Anolis sagrei: one gene and its partner. The protein of the gene in region 2 binds, or shares a complex with, the protein of the main gene of each other region. Links are inferred from orthologs where the notes say so. Each region holds a gene or a part of one and is shown on either strand. Other genes may lie near its edges.

Region 1 (6,960 bases), on a different chromosome or scaffold from region 2:
CCTTTGCTGGATATACACCAGCAAAATATCTTGATCTTACCTCAGTGCTAGTGCTATTGAACGCACAATGTTCTTCCTTTCCAAAACAAAAATGGTTTTAGATGCCTTTGATGTGAATTTTGAAAACAGACTTTATTCTGGATTTCCTAGGAAAACCCAAGGTCTGCAATATGATAGACATACATTGATGATGGTGCAACCAAAGGTCCTTCCACACAGCCTTATATTCCAGAATATCGAGGCAGAAAATCCCACATTATCTGAATGTGGGTTCAAAGCAGTTCAAAGCAGATATTGTGGGATTTTCTGCCTTGATATTCAGCGATATAGGGCTGTGTGGAAGGGTCCTCAAGGAAGCTAAGAGATTGTTCTGACTGTAGGCAAAGTAGTTATAATAATGCCTTCTGACTTTGAGAAAAGTCAAGGGAAATGCTAATATTTTGGTGAAATGTAGTTGAATAGCAGGAATTCAGCTTTGAATTGACTCAAGTATGTATATGTATATGCGTGTGTGTAGATAGAAACATAGATCACTAATTTATCAGTTGATCAACAAACCACATATTGCTCCTGATACAGCAGTTTAAAAAAATGAAAATAATTTTAAGGTAAGTGCTTACACATCCATGGGTGCCTTCTTGGAAGAAACATTCCTCTTCCCACACACAGGAAGGACTTCCTTTTCTGAGATATGCCTGATGGGATGCATGTATCACCTGAAAACCAAAAAGCAGGCCCAGGATCAGCACCAGGCATTCTTGGGTGGCACTCAGGGTCCCAGGACTTTTGCAGGGCTTACTGGAGAATGTTGTGAATCCTCGAGCCTCACAAAACACCTATTTCCTGTGTTCACCCAACATTTTGATTTCTCATAATATCATGTTCACTGGAACACTGCGAGAATGTAAAATGGCACCTACTAGACATCATTTAAGACCAAACTAGAATAGAGTGGGACTGTTACTTCTATTGATCTAAACCAGGCTTGCACAACCTGGCAATAATAAGGAGCCGAAATTAGAATAGGTCAAACAATTTTGGACCACAGATAGGTTTTTAGCACCTCATTTTCCAAATAAATGTATAATTAATTAATAAACTATAGTGTAAATAAACCATATTATTAAAGGGGAAGTTTCAATTAATATTCATTAATTAAACTTATGTAATCTTTTTATTTATTCTGAAATCAAATTATTGCAAAAAAAGATTACTTTGCTAATTAACAATAAGAAAACCTGAAAATGCATTCAAGTTTGTACCACTTAGTACAGAAATCATAAAATTATAAAACAACCAATGAGAATGTTTAATAAGTAGCATTAGAAACTGCATACTTAAACAACACTGAGTGCAAAACCTAGATATTGATAAATGGTTGTCTTGAGTGAGCCACGTTCTCTGCCTCAGACAAAGGTTCAGAAAAACTTGCCTACTGTCAGCATATTGGCTGACACTGAGAAATAAACCAATTTCAATTCAATTGTCTTTTATGCATATTTCAGAGGAAGGGGCGACCAGGAAGGGGAAGCCGGTTCCCAATACTTGGAAAAGGCATGAGGTTGGAGAAGGAGTTGGGGTTCACTGGTCAGCCCTTTTGCGGCCTGCCTAATTGGAATGGCCCTTCCCCTGCCTGCCTTGTGCAGGCTGCAAGAAAGTCCCTGGAGGGAGGCATCTGGCTCGCAGGCCATATGTTGTGCAGGCTCCTATTGATGCAGCCTAGGTTACTATAGCATTTGAGACCCCACATCACACAGTGTTGAGTCATATTTATTTATCTGAAATATTCACCTTATTATCCAAGACTGCCACAGAATATCCTTTTCACATATACCATTTTCAAGCCAGGTGTCTATCATAGAATCATAGAGATTCTATGAATTATAGAGATTCAAGACACCACACAGGCCATCCAGTCCAACCCCATCATATACGAAAAGCACAAAGGACCAGCTAACAAGATGGCATGTCGTTTTTCTTGACTAAGTGTAGTATCATAAATGTCTACTTGTTGAAACAAATACTATTAATTAACTCCTTTTAAAATCAATAAACAGCCTTAATTAAAATCCATTATGAATACAAGAACATATCATCTGTATATTAAGTCCTATACAACTGACAACTAGTATATTGCATATAGTCAAATTTCTAAGAGTTTTTGATTAATTAAAATTATTGATTAATTAAAGACAAATTTGCATATAAAATATGTCTTGGAGCATCAGGTTGGAGTGCAAGCAAGTTAATGCAAGCCACTTTCTAACACACAGGTTATGAAGATCAATAGCAATGAACAGATGTTAGTAATGCGTGTGTTGAACTGTTAATGCCAAATGACATTAATCCTGCTACACTGGAGTTTGTTATGAACATACAGCTTCCCAGCAACTTCTTAATTAATAGTTTGCCATCTGTGATAAAAGAGCTTATGGAGCATATGCACTTATACTGTTTTCTTCTTCAAGAAAATTTACAACATGACTTTTCTTGCATGTAACGCAGGATGAATAACAATTTACATCAGCTTTGACTGTAATTCTATATCCCTGAATTTGTACAATTCTAAATAAAAAAGCCCAAAAAGCGACATGCTAACTTTACATTATGTACCATGTGCATCCTTCAACTTCCCACTTAATCACTTCTTTACCTAAGCAGATTTGTTTTGCAAAGTCACTGAAAACTACAGCTAAATTAAAAATGCTTATGACGTGGGAAAAGAGTAAGACAGCAATACATACCAACAAATTCCCCCAGTTTTTCTTAACATCTTAACTCATTTGTGCGGCAGTGAAAATAAAAGCCCAATAATTCGTGGACACCCACACAAACTACCAAGGTGGCACTTCCTACTCTGGGTGTTATGAGGTAGGTCATTCTTCCCTGCGGTGCAATCTCATTAGGATTTAAGTGACATCCATCCTTCTATTTGGGATCCGGCCAATAACATCTTAAAAGCAGACACTGTGTGCTATTTTGTACCAATCCAAACAGAGACATAATCAAAACAACCAAAATATGTTTAGATACACTTCTACATTCATCACATTGCTCTTTGAAATAAGAATCATTATTAAAATGATTAGACTTAAGTTGAGGTTACTGTGTTATAACTCCGCTAAATTTATGCCACTATACAGCACATTTGAAATCAGAATTCTGGAATGAAGAAGGAAATGATTATGGAAGAATTTAGAGAAATAAAATTGACATGGTTCCTTTGTATACAATTAGAACAATAGTTTAAAAACTGGGGAAAAAATAATAAAAACGGAAGTAAGCTTAACCAATTTGAACAAATAATACAAAATGGAAGGGTTGTAGAGGAGCATGAAAATTTGAAAGGAATAACTAGTAAATATGTAAGATAATAATTGAAATAAAGAAAGGAAAAACAAAAAATAACATCCTCAAGGAGGTCTGGGAAGAAGATTTAGGGATAAAAATAAGTGAACAGAGTGGCAACAATTATGGAGACAAAGACATCTAAAAAAATTTATCAATTCAGGTTAAAGAAAATTATTATAAGTTAATATGAAAATGGTACCTAACACCAGTAAGAATAGCAAATATAAATAAAAACTATTTAAAAAATTGCTGGAGAGGATGTCAAAAATCAGGAACATATATACATATGTGGTGGCAATGTAAATATGTAAATAATTTTGGGGGAAAGTATTTAGAGAAATAGAAGATATAATGAATATTAAAACAGAAAGAAGTCCTAGTATAGTTTTATTATCATTATATAATAATAAACAATTGAAAAAAGAGGTTAAAGAAGCGATAACAAATTTATTAACAGTAGCAAGACTGCTTATAGCAAGGAACTGGAAAAAAGAAATAAATATACAAATAGAGGAGTGGTACAAGGAAGTATGGAAATTGGCAATAAATGATAACCTGACATGTATATTAAAACTTAAAAGAGGAAACAAAGTGATTTTGATGATGTATGGAGAAAATTTATTGAAAAAGGGTTAAAAAATAAAGAAGGAAAGTTACTTCCACAAGAAGAATTGAAATGTTGGACAGATGATATGTAAAAGCTGTGGCTTGGGGGGGGGGGGGGGGGCGAGCACAGTGGTGAGGGATAGATAATATGTATAAGCAGAAAAATAAAACTAGATGCCAAATGTTTGGTAGGTTGTATTGAATAATATGTATCTGCTGTAAAACAAACAATGTATAACAAATGTATTTAACCATGATAAAATAATAAAAAATATCTTTTAAAAAGAAATCAGAATTCTGTAATATTAGTATTTGTATTCTTGTACAAGTCATGTCCCAATTTTGTTATGTAAATATTTAAGCATCTAGATTGCCGTATCACGTAGGCAGCTAGGTAGAGGAAGCACAAGGCAGAAAATAGTATCCTGTCTGAAAAGCACCCCCCATTTCTTGTTGCAGAGGCACCTGTGAGCCCCTGCCTCTGACTGGTACAAAAACAACACACTTTCATGTATATTCATCTGTTTTGGTGCTTTCTATGAAAGGTGAAGGACATGTCAAATGAATCTCAGATGTGAGGATTAATATAAAAAAATAACTAAGATCTATCGTACTGTGGTAAAACACTACAGGACTTAATTAAAACCTCACATGGTTTTCTGAGATGCCTGGTAGAAGGTGTGAGTCCAATTATTCCTCAGAAAAAGGTGCAAAAGCATTGGTTTCATACAGGAATTCTTGTATAATAATTCTCACAGCAAAACCACTTTCTGATCCATCTTGTCTCTTGGGCTTTTCAACGTGTATAGCAAAGTTTCTAGGAGAAGTTGTCCTGGGATTTCTGGCAAAATTATTCCTTTCCAGATGGAAATAGAAATTATTCTTTTCCATGTAGTTGTAAATGGGAAGTGGATATCCTGAAACATTTCCATAGATTAATAGATTTGGTCAAAGTGAAACTTGATCCAAAAAATACAGATTCTGTTGCATGTGTCTTACCAACCGAAGAACATTTATTTATTTGCTTCCTTTATACCCTACCTTTCTCACCCCCGTAAGGGTACTCAAGGTGGCTTACAACTCCAGCAAGATTCAATGCCATTTAAAACATAGTCATAAAACCTATCCCAAATACTAAAACAAAGAGAGTTGGTGCCTTACCAAACTATGGATTCCATAGCATGGGAACCATAGTTTGATTAGGCACCAACTCTCTTTGGGATCCATAGTTTGGTGAGGCATCAATTCTGTTTGGCAAGGAAGGCAAAAGACCTTGCTAAAATTACAACTCACAGGATTACATAAGACCCTTCCACACAGCTGAATAAAATCCCACATTGTTGTCGAGCAATTTAGAATGGCTGTGGATAGGCCCATGCCATTGTGGGTTGCCTGGTGAGAAAGAGAAGTCATTATTACAGAATAAATCTCCCCAAGTTGAAGAGAAAGCCATTGAGGTTTTTATTTCATTCCAGCTGGAAAGGATGACGATTGTAATAATCTGTGAACAAAATCGACGTGCCCACTGGGCAAAAAGGTATATTTATAGCCTTCAGATTCAAAAGTTTCCATGCCCACCCCTCTCCCCCCTTCCGAGCTGGCTTTGCTATGATAGACTGTGACGTCAGCAAGTCAGCAGGAGAGCCAATGGTGGCCTGAGCCCTTCTTTGGCCTCTCAGCCAATGAGGTGGAAGGGAGGTGGGCAACAGGGAAACAATGAAGAAGTGTCTAGTTGACTGGATTAAGATGACCAGTGTTTGCTAAATGGCTGGGCGAAGACCTTTAGGCTCTCAAGCCTAGCCAGGGTTATTGTTTTAATCTTTTGAATTTACATCTTTGTGTAGCTCAGGGGGCTAGATTCTTTGTTTTCTTCCTTCCTGGGTATGGGATCCATTGATGAAGATTGAGGCTGGTTTCGGCCAGTTGGGTTGGCACAATGGAAAAGCCTGTGGTGAAATCCTAATTCCTCGCAGACAGGAAGACACCCTTTGTGTTGGGTGATTCAGATGTCCATAGGTCTAAGAACCATTTATTTATTGTTCATGCAAATGAATTTTGGTTGAGTCCTTTGTCAAAAGATTTACTGGCTCAGAAAATTGGGAAAGCTTCCTGGAGCCATGGGGCGCTGGATTCATGAAGATGACTTTGCCTTCATTTTTCAAAATACAGACATACTTACACATAAGGTATGGGAATGGGTAGGGGAATATACAAAGAATTCATAGGAAGGGGGGGGGAATCATGCAGGGTCTAAGGGAAAATCACATCAGCCCCCCAAAGTCCATTGAAGTTCACATAAGTTTGGAAAAGTTGGTAAAAAGAGTTAATAAGAGTTCACAGTTCATAGGGATTTGACAAAGAGTCCATGGAAATTCCTAAAAGTCTTAAAAGTCTTCAAAAGTTGATAAAAGTTCCCAAAGTTTATAGAAGTTGGAAGAAGTTCATAAAGTTTGGGTTACAGAGGCCTTGCCATGTGGGGCCATAGGAAAAAAACCTTAGGTTCCCACATGGGGGGAGATAAGGGATTATGGGATCATTCCAGCCTGGTATCCTTGGCAAAACTATTAACTCCCTGATTTTGAACTATATTTAACAGAGTCTGCGGGGGGGGGGGGGGGGGTCACCCCCGATCTCAACATTATCTCCTTTGAACTGGAATATATGGCAGTGTGGACTCAGATAACCCAGGGCCCTTCCACACAGCCCTATATCACAGAATATCGAGACAGAAAGCAGATATTGTGGGATTTTCTGCCTTGATATTCTGGGATATAGGTCTGTATGAAAGGGCCCAATAACTGTCATGGCTCAATGCTATGAGATTCTGAGGTTTTGTAGTTTGGTGAGGACCCATCACCATTTGGCACCCTGGGTCCACACTGCCATATATTTGTTCAAAGCAGATACTGTTTAGAAAGGGCCTCATGCCCCACTCACACTGGTACAATATATAAAATCCAGATTATTTGCTTTGAATTGGATTATATTAGTCTACCCTGCCAT
Region 2 (7,909 bases):
ATCAATACGCAAGAACTAGGGTTACTAGATTTTAAAAAATGAGATGTCACCATTTGCTGAGTCGAAGAGGAAATTTCAGTCAGTTACCAGGTTACAAAGCAAGGTTACAACAACAACAACATCTGTTATAGAATATGCTGATGACAATGTCATCTGTGCACATTCAGAAGAAGACCTACAAGCCATTCTAAACACCTTCACAGAAGCATACAAGAACCTCAGCCTGTCATTGAGCATCGAGAAAACCAAAGTACTCTTCCCGCAGTCACCAGATAATCCCTCTTCAATGCCAGAAATTCAGCTTAATAGTGTAACATTAGAAAATGTTGACCATTTCCGCTACCTTGGCAGCCACCTCTCCACAAAAGTCAACATTGACAGTGAAATGCAACACCGCCTGAGCTCTGCGAGTGCAGCATTTTTCCGAATGAAGCACAGAGTGTTTGAAGACTGGGACATCTGTAGGGATACCAAGGTGCTTGTTTATAAAGCTATTATCCTCCCAACCCTGCTATATGCCTGCAAGACTTTGACTATCTACAGACATCACATGCAACTCCTAGAATGATTCCATCAGCGTTGCCTCCAAAAAAAATTCTGCAAATCTCTTGGGAAGACAAGTGGACAAATGTCAGCGTGCTGGAAGAAGCAAAGGCCACCAGCATTGAAGCGATGGTCCTCTGTCATCAACTCCACTGGACCGGCCACGTTGTCTGGATGCCCGGCCACCATCTCTCAAAGCAGTTGCTCTACTCTGAACTCAAGAACGGAAAACGGAATGTTTGTGGACAGGAAAAGAGATTTAAAGATGGGCTCAAGGCCAACCTTAAACACTCTGGCATAGACACTGAGAACTGGGAAGCCCTGGCCGTTTAGTGCTCCAGCTGGAGGTCAGCTGTGAGCAGCAGTGCTGTAGAATTTAAAGAGGCACCAATGGAGGGTGAAAGAGAGAAACGTGCCAAGAGGAAGGCACATCAAGCCAACCACAACCAGGACCGCTTTCCACCTGGAAACCAATGCCCTCGCTGCGGGAGAACACGCAGATAAAGAATAGGGCTCCACAGTCACCTATGGACCCACCGCCAGTCCATCGATCCCAGACAACGAGGGATTGCCTAAGTAAGTAAGTTACCAAGTTGCATGACAAGCAATACCTGCTCAAATTCCCTCTTCTCCACAATCCTTATAGGAGCAGAAACTGTTTCCATTTTTCACTCTGATAACACTAAGCTTTTAGGTGTATTTAGACTTTGGCTGGACTGTATCGATCCACTTCATACTGTCTTTATATTCATAGGAACATAAGCAATGGCTTTTCTCGATAAACAGCTAACCACATCTTACTGTGCCATTAATCCCCACTCTGTCATTTACCTCATAATCCACTGAATATTTCAGGATAAGTTGTGAGTCTTTTATGTCAAACCACTCAGGGTTTGTGTCTGATGCCGGGGCAATTGTTACAGTGACACCAGCAGCTGTCGTAATGTTGGTGACCACGACTCCAGGAGCATTGTTCTCCTCAATACTAGGACTGGCATTCTCCACAGAACAGTCTAGTGAAACAAAAGGAAAGATTTCATGTCTCTGGAAGTGCAGTCTAACTCAACAGAATCATTCATATCTGCCAGTATCGACTGACTTAGAATTTTATACTTTAATTTAAAACTAGAGTTTTATACTTTAATTTAATATTTTATTGGCAACAAGTGAGAACCAGTGTGGCATTCTCAGGGCCATCTGTTGGGGGTGGTTTGAATGCAATTTTCCTGTTTCTTGGCAAGGGGTTGGACTGGATGGCCCACAAGGTACCTTCTGTTATTGCAGTTTGAGCGCTGGAGGCTCTGGAGACCAGGTTCAGTTCCCTGTGCAGCTTCTGAAACCCACCTTCAGCCCCAGAAAACCTCATTAAAGGATCACCATAAGTTAGAAACAATTTGGAAGCACACAACAGCAGTAGCAACAACAACAACGTACAAATGCTTTATAGGACATTTCATATAACATGGCAATAAGCAGATATGCAAGAGATACATCCAAATAATAATATTTTATCTGATATCTAGACTGGGGACATGCCAATGTTTGGCCTTTCATCATTCAAAATCTTTTCCTGTGCCTTTATCAAGTATACACCTTTGTAATTTGAGGTACATCTAATCCCATATTAAATTTAGATATTGAATTCCCTATTCCAGACACTATGTAAAATTATTCCCATTCATATTGTTAATTTAGAATTAATTGCCTGAATTAGATAATATTATAAAGTAGAGCATTTTTTAAATTAGTACTAGTACCTGTGTTAATATTATTATTTCTGTTGGCTTGAATCTCTTTACATATTGTCAAAAGTTCATTGTTCTGACAAAAAAAACTTTGCTAGCATATTGGAAACATAATACTGATTCTTCCCCAGGCAAGATCTCTTCTTGAAATATACAATGTATTTTAGTGTTCTTGCTGCGCTTCTGTTCATGCTTATAGAAGAGAAAACTCCACGAAACTCTGTGGGAGTTTAATTTGAAATAAGCATCTATAAGCTAGTGCTACGTATTTAAAGTATATTTAGGTGTCCATTCAGTTTTCTGGTCAATTTATTACAACACCATGAACTTCATAGGGTTTTCTTAGGCGAAAAATACTTAGAGGTGGTTTGCCAATTCCTTCCTTCAAAATATACGCTAACCTAATTCACCTGGTAGTTTTGATAGTCTCCCATCCAAAGACTAACCAGGTCCTGTTTAACTTCCAAGATCAGACAGGATTTGGTGCTTTTAGGCTATTTAGGCAATCCATATATTGAAAATATCTATGCCTTTTGTTCCTCTATGGGTGTATCCAAACAACTATCCCTCTTGTGTTGTTTTTAACAATTAACCCTGAGTCAGTATTTGCTCCTGTCTCCCAGGCATACTTACATGCGCTCTGTCCTTGGACATGAAGTACAGATACCAAGACAAAGACCATACAGGTGCAGAGCTGAATGAAAAGAGCCATCACACTGGTGGAGGGAGGGGAGGAATCCAAAATCTAAGAAAAGCGGTCTTCATTTATTATCATCATGAATCGTCCTTTCACTCTTCCATCAGGAAGTACCGTAATGCTGCAAATAGTACTTTGCTAACAGAGGAGTTTAACCTTTGCATCTTGGTTTATTGACTCACTTATTTATGACTTATTTACCATCACTCATCAGTGACTGGCTCAGTGGAAAGTACTTTGTCTTACCTTGGAGACTGGGTTGTTCTTACATTGCAGAGGCAGTCCCTGCCCAGAGTGAGTAGCTGCCTTGGGCTACGTATTTTGGGTATCATGGAAGGGTGATAGAGGTTCATTGTGTTTTGCTGAAACAAAAAGATATGGTTATGCGGTGTGTGGTTTGCCTTGGTTGGGCAGGATGCATTTTGGCTTTGGTAAGTGAGAGATACCATTTGCAGTTCTGACTTGGGCAGAAAAATATCTTGAAACTATCACCACTTCAAATGTCTACTTAGTCCACTGCATTCAGGGAGACTTACCATATATACACATACCTCACATGTAAGTCAAAGGCAAGTTTGGGGGCCAAAATTATGGCCAGAAAGCGCCCGTGCCTGCTTGGAACTGAGTGCCTCTCTTCTAGTGTAGAAACAGGTAAGAAGTTTCCTTAAGGTATGCACCTGCATGCAGCTGAGCACCTTTCCTCTAGAGTAATGTCTAAAATGACAGGAGGGGGAGCCTGGGAAGCCCCCCCCCCAATAATGGGCTGATAGAAAACAGATCTTTCAGCACCCCGAGCGAAAACAAATATCTGCCCTCCTGATTTCGGGAAGCTCCCAAAAACTGATCGGGGCCGCCACTGAAAGCCAGGACACGAAACGAGTCAAGATTTACCCTGAAAGCACAACCCTACTTACTATTATTTATTTATTTATTTACTGCGCTTATATACCGCAATTCTCAGCCCCCAAGGGCGACTCATTGCGGTGTACAACATGACAAAAACAAGTGCAATCTACAGAGCATAGTGCAAAACAGTGTACAATTCATCATAATCATAAAAACATCTTAACAAAATTATTACTACATTCCGAATCGTCTCATCGTCAAGCCACAATCCGATCTCATTTCCGGTGTTCCATTCCTATGGTCAATTGCCAGTCATTGCACTATTGATCAAATGCCTTCTTAAATAGCCAGGTCTTTAGCTTCCTGCGGAATATTAGCAGGGAGGGGGCTAGCCTGATGTCCACGGGAAGGGTGTTCCACAGCCGAGGAGCCGCCACCGAGAAGGCCCTATCTCTCGTCCCCACCAGCCGTGCCTGTGAGGCAGGTGGAATCGAGAGCAGGGCCTCCCCGGAAGATCTCAAAGTCTTCGAGGGCTCATAGGCCGAGAGGCGGTCAGTTAGGTATTTTGGGCCGGAACCATTTAGGGCTTTATAGGCCAATGCCAGCACCTTGAATTGAGCTCGGTAGCAGATCGGCAGCCAGTGGAGCTGGTACAGCAGGGGGGTTGTATGCTCCCTACATCCCGCTCCTGTTAGTGTCATGGCTGCCGCACGTTGGACCAGTTGGAGCTTCCGGGCCGTCTTCAAAGGCAACCCCACGTAGAGAGCGTTGCAGTAGTCTAAGCGGGATGTAACCAGAGCGTGGACTACCGTGGCCAAGTCAGACTTCCCAAGATACGGGCGCAGCTGGCGCACAAGCCTAAGCTGTGCGAATGCTCCCCTGGTCACCACCGAGACCTGGGGCTCCAGGCTCAGCGATGAATCCAGGATCACACCCAAGCTGCGAACCTGCGCCTTCAAGGGGAGTGCGACCCCATCCAGCACAGGCTGTAACCCTATACCCTAGGGATAACAGGCATAATAGATTGATTACTTTGAAGACGTATGACAAACTTTTCATTCTGATGACAACTGCAGCAAGAATTGTATGTCTTTGGAAGTGGAAACCTAGAAGAAACTCCAAAAATGAAAGAATGGATAGTAAAAGTAGCTGAAATAGTGGAAATCAACATTTTGACAAAATAGCTTCAAATAAAGGATCCTTCAATGTTCAAGAAAGTCTGGGAACCCTTCAAAACATTTCCTGGAAGTAATGTTTAAAATTTTAGTCTATTACATTATATTTTACACAATGAACTGGATAATATGGAAACAATAAACATTCTTGTGTATATGAAAAAGAGGATATGTAAAAATTGGATGATATATTTCAATTTTTTTAAAAAAAAGAAATTTGGGAAGGTTTTAAGTCCCCAGCTGAGCCCTGGGATTTAAGAATTATTAATAACAATGAATAAAAATCTGGGCATGAACTGAGTGGTTTCACCACATTCACCTGTAAAGTTAGTGCAAATAATTTCCAGCAAAAAGACAAAACTCTTGGAGATAAAGGTTTTGGCATTTTTTTCCACTTCAAAAGTTCAGGATTGGTTTTTCAAAATTCTGATGCAGAAGTTATAATGAATGTCTTTTATATGTATGTATTTATTTACTATATTTGTATACCCCCCCTTCTCAGCCCTCAGGCGACTCAATTATAAAATATTATATATACCATCAGTCATTAGACCAGGGGTCCTCAAACTTTTTAAACAGAGGGCCAGGTCACAGTCCCTCAAACTGTTGGAGGGCCGGATTATAATTTTTTAAAAAAATGAATGAATTCCTACGCACACTGCACATATCTTATTTGTAGTGCAAAAAACACTTAAAACAATACAGTAATTAAAATGAAGAACAATTTTAACAAATATAAAATTATTAGTATTTCAATGGGAAGTGTGGACCCACTTTTGGCTGATGAGATAGGAATTGCTGTTGTTGTTGTTGTTATGTGCTTTCGAGTCGTTTCAGACTTAGGCTGACTCTGAGCAAGGGCCGGGTAAATGATCTTAGAGTTTGAGGACCCCTGCATTAGACAGTGTGTAGCCATGAAAAAAATCACTGGGTTTCTTAATTTCTTTAGTTATGATGTGGATGTGATTCTGCTTTTCTGTAGTTTCGTTTTATTTTAAAAAATAAATTTTCTTGGATGGAAATCTAAATCTGTGTCTAAATTGCAAAATTAAATAACTACAAAATGCTTTGAAATTATGGAATGAGGTGTTTGTGGGGGAAAGAAAAAGCTTCTCCAGAAAGGCTCTCAGAATAGTATATAAAGGTCATTTGGATTGCTGCTTTGATCTCTCACTGTGGCAGAAAATCCCCTTCCCTTGGAGATTCCACATTCCTCATAGCAAATGTTTTTCCTGAGATAAATGCTCTCAGTATTTTGTAGTTGCACTTTAACTTGTGGCAACCCCTGTTATAGCCTACGCCTGTTACTTTCATACTGTGCCAACATCTTAAAGTTTTGGAGCACATGTTGAATGTTTCTTAATGTAACCCACATTGGCAGTCAACTGTAACCTTCCCAACCTGACATCCCCCAGATGTGGTTTGACTGCAGTCCCCGTCACTCTCAGCCAGCATGGTTACTGGCCTCATGGTTACTGGCCTGCTCAACTGGATAATAGGCACTTGAGTCCAATGCATCTGGAAGGTGCCCAAGATTTGGAAGGGTGCAAACCAAGTTATGATAGACTGATACTGTTATGGAGTATTTGCATTCATCCAGTTCAGTGTAGTGGTTTGAATGCTTAATCCGTTGTTGTTGTTGTTTAGTCAAAATTATTAACTATTTGTATACAAGATGGCTCAAAATCCCAGACCCCAAACTACTTTCTCACCTGCAGGGAAAAATTATTCATCACATTTTTCTGTGAGTGAGAGAAAGCAGCTGGGTGAAAACAAGTTTTGAAAGATAAAGGAAGGCTTTATTTGCATTTCCTGCTTTCCAGCACTCTGTGAAGTGAGATACACTGTGAAGTTTGGACCCAAGTCACTACTTGATTGATACTGCAGTGATGAACTAATGAAAATGCAAGTGGCTGTGCCTAAAATTAGACTATTGAAGCCCTCTAGTGGGTGGTTGCTTGCAGTGCGTCCATGTCTCTATATAGGTCTAATATTTTCCACAAAATCCAAGTCCAGACCACCTTGAAAGTCTCAAATGACCCTCATCTGGGACATCTCTGTAGGATTGATCTAATCCCTATGTAAATGTCAGATGGTATAATAAAATCATACAATTTGAAGAGGCCACAAGGGTCATGCAATCCAGCCCCCTGCCATACAGGAACCCACAATCAAAGCACTCCAAACAGATGGCCAGCTAGCCTCTGCTTAAAAACCTCATAAAAGGGGACTCCACCAGACCTGGGATGACATATTCCATTGCTGAACAGTTCTTCTTATCATCAGAGAGTTCTTCCTAATGTTTAGCTGGAATCTCTTTCCCTGCAATTTGAGCACATTGCTCTGTGTCCTAGTCTCCAGAGCAACAGAAAACTAGTTTGTCCTCTCCTCAATGTGACATCCTTTCACATATTTAAACATGGCACTATCATGTCTCCTCCCAGATTTCTTTTCTCCAAAGCGAAACATACCCAGCTCCTTAAGCTGCTCCTCATAGGGCTTGGTTTCCAAATTTTTGAGCATTTTAGTTGCCCGAGTCACATTTCAGCTTGTTAATATCCTTCTTGAACTATAGTGCCCAGAACTAAACACAATATTCCAGGTGAGATCTGACCAAAGCAGAATAGAGTAGTTCTATTATTTCATTTGACATAGGCACTATGTTCCTATTGATGCAGTTTAGAATTATATAGGGTTTTTTTAGCTGCCACATCATACTGTTGACTCATGTTTAGCTTGTAGTCTACTCCTTATCACATTGAGAAATTTCCCCCTCGTAGGACACTTCAGCCTCTTTTCAAACATGGAGAGGTACAGAACTCATCACATGTGTTAAACTATTTCTGGCCATCATGCATAGCTCTTCTTAATTGAAAAGAGGCAGAAGTGTCCTGAAAGGAGGG

The links. Proteins that work in one complex are often made in the same cells at the same time.
Region 1: CDHR5 (region 2) and MYO7B share a complex: the UniProt entries of both Homo sapiens proteins name them as parts of the IMAC/intermicrovillar adhesion complex. The link is inferred for Anolis sagrei from reciprocal best matches to the Homo sapiens genes CDHR5 and MYO7B.

What each region holds. Positions count from the first base shown.
Region 1 is NC_090023.1:221,037,930-221,044,889, forward strand, and holds the start of MYO7B (unconventional myosin-VIIb), read right to left. Parts: upstream 3,019-6,960; 5' UTR 2,745-3,018; intron 717-2,744; 5' UTR 621-716; intron 1-620. UniProt on the Homo sapiens protein: Myosins are actin-based motor molecules with ATPase activity. Their highly divergent tails are presumed to bind to membranous compartments, which would be moved relative to actin filaments.
Region 2 is NC_090021.1:240,588,392-240,596,300, forward strand, and holds the start of CDHR5 (cadherin-related family member 5), read right to left. Parts: upstream 3,001-7,909; coding exon 2,922-3,000; intron 1,557-2,921; coding exon 1,375-1,556; intron 1-1,374. UniProt on the Homo sapiens protein: Intermicrovillar adhesion molecule that forms, via its extracellular domain, calcium-dependent heterophilic complexes with CDHR2 on adjacent microvilli. Thereby, controls the packing of microvilli at the apical membrane of epithelial cells.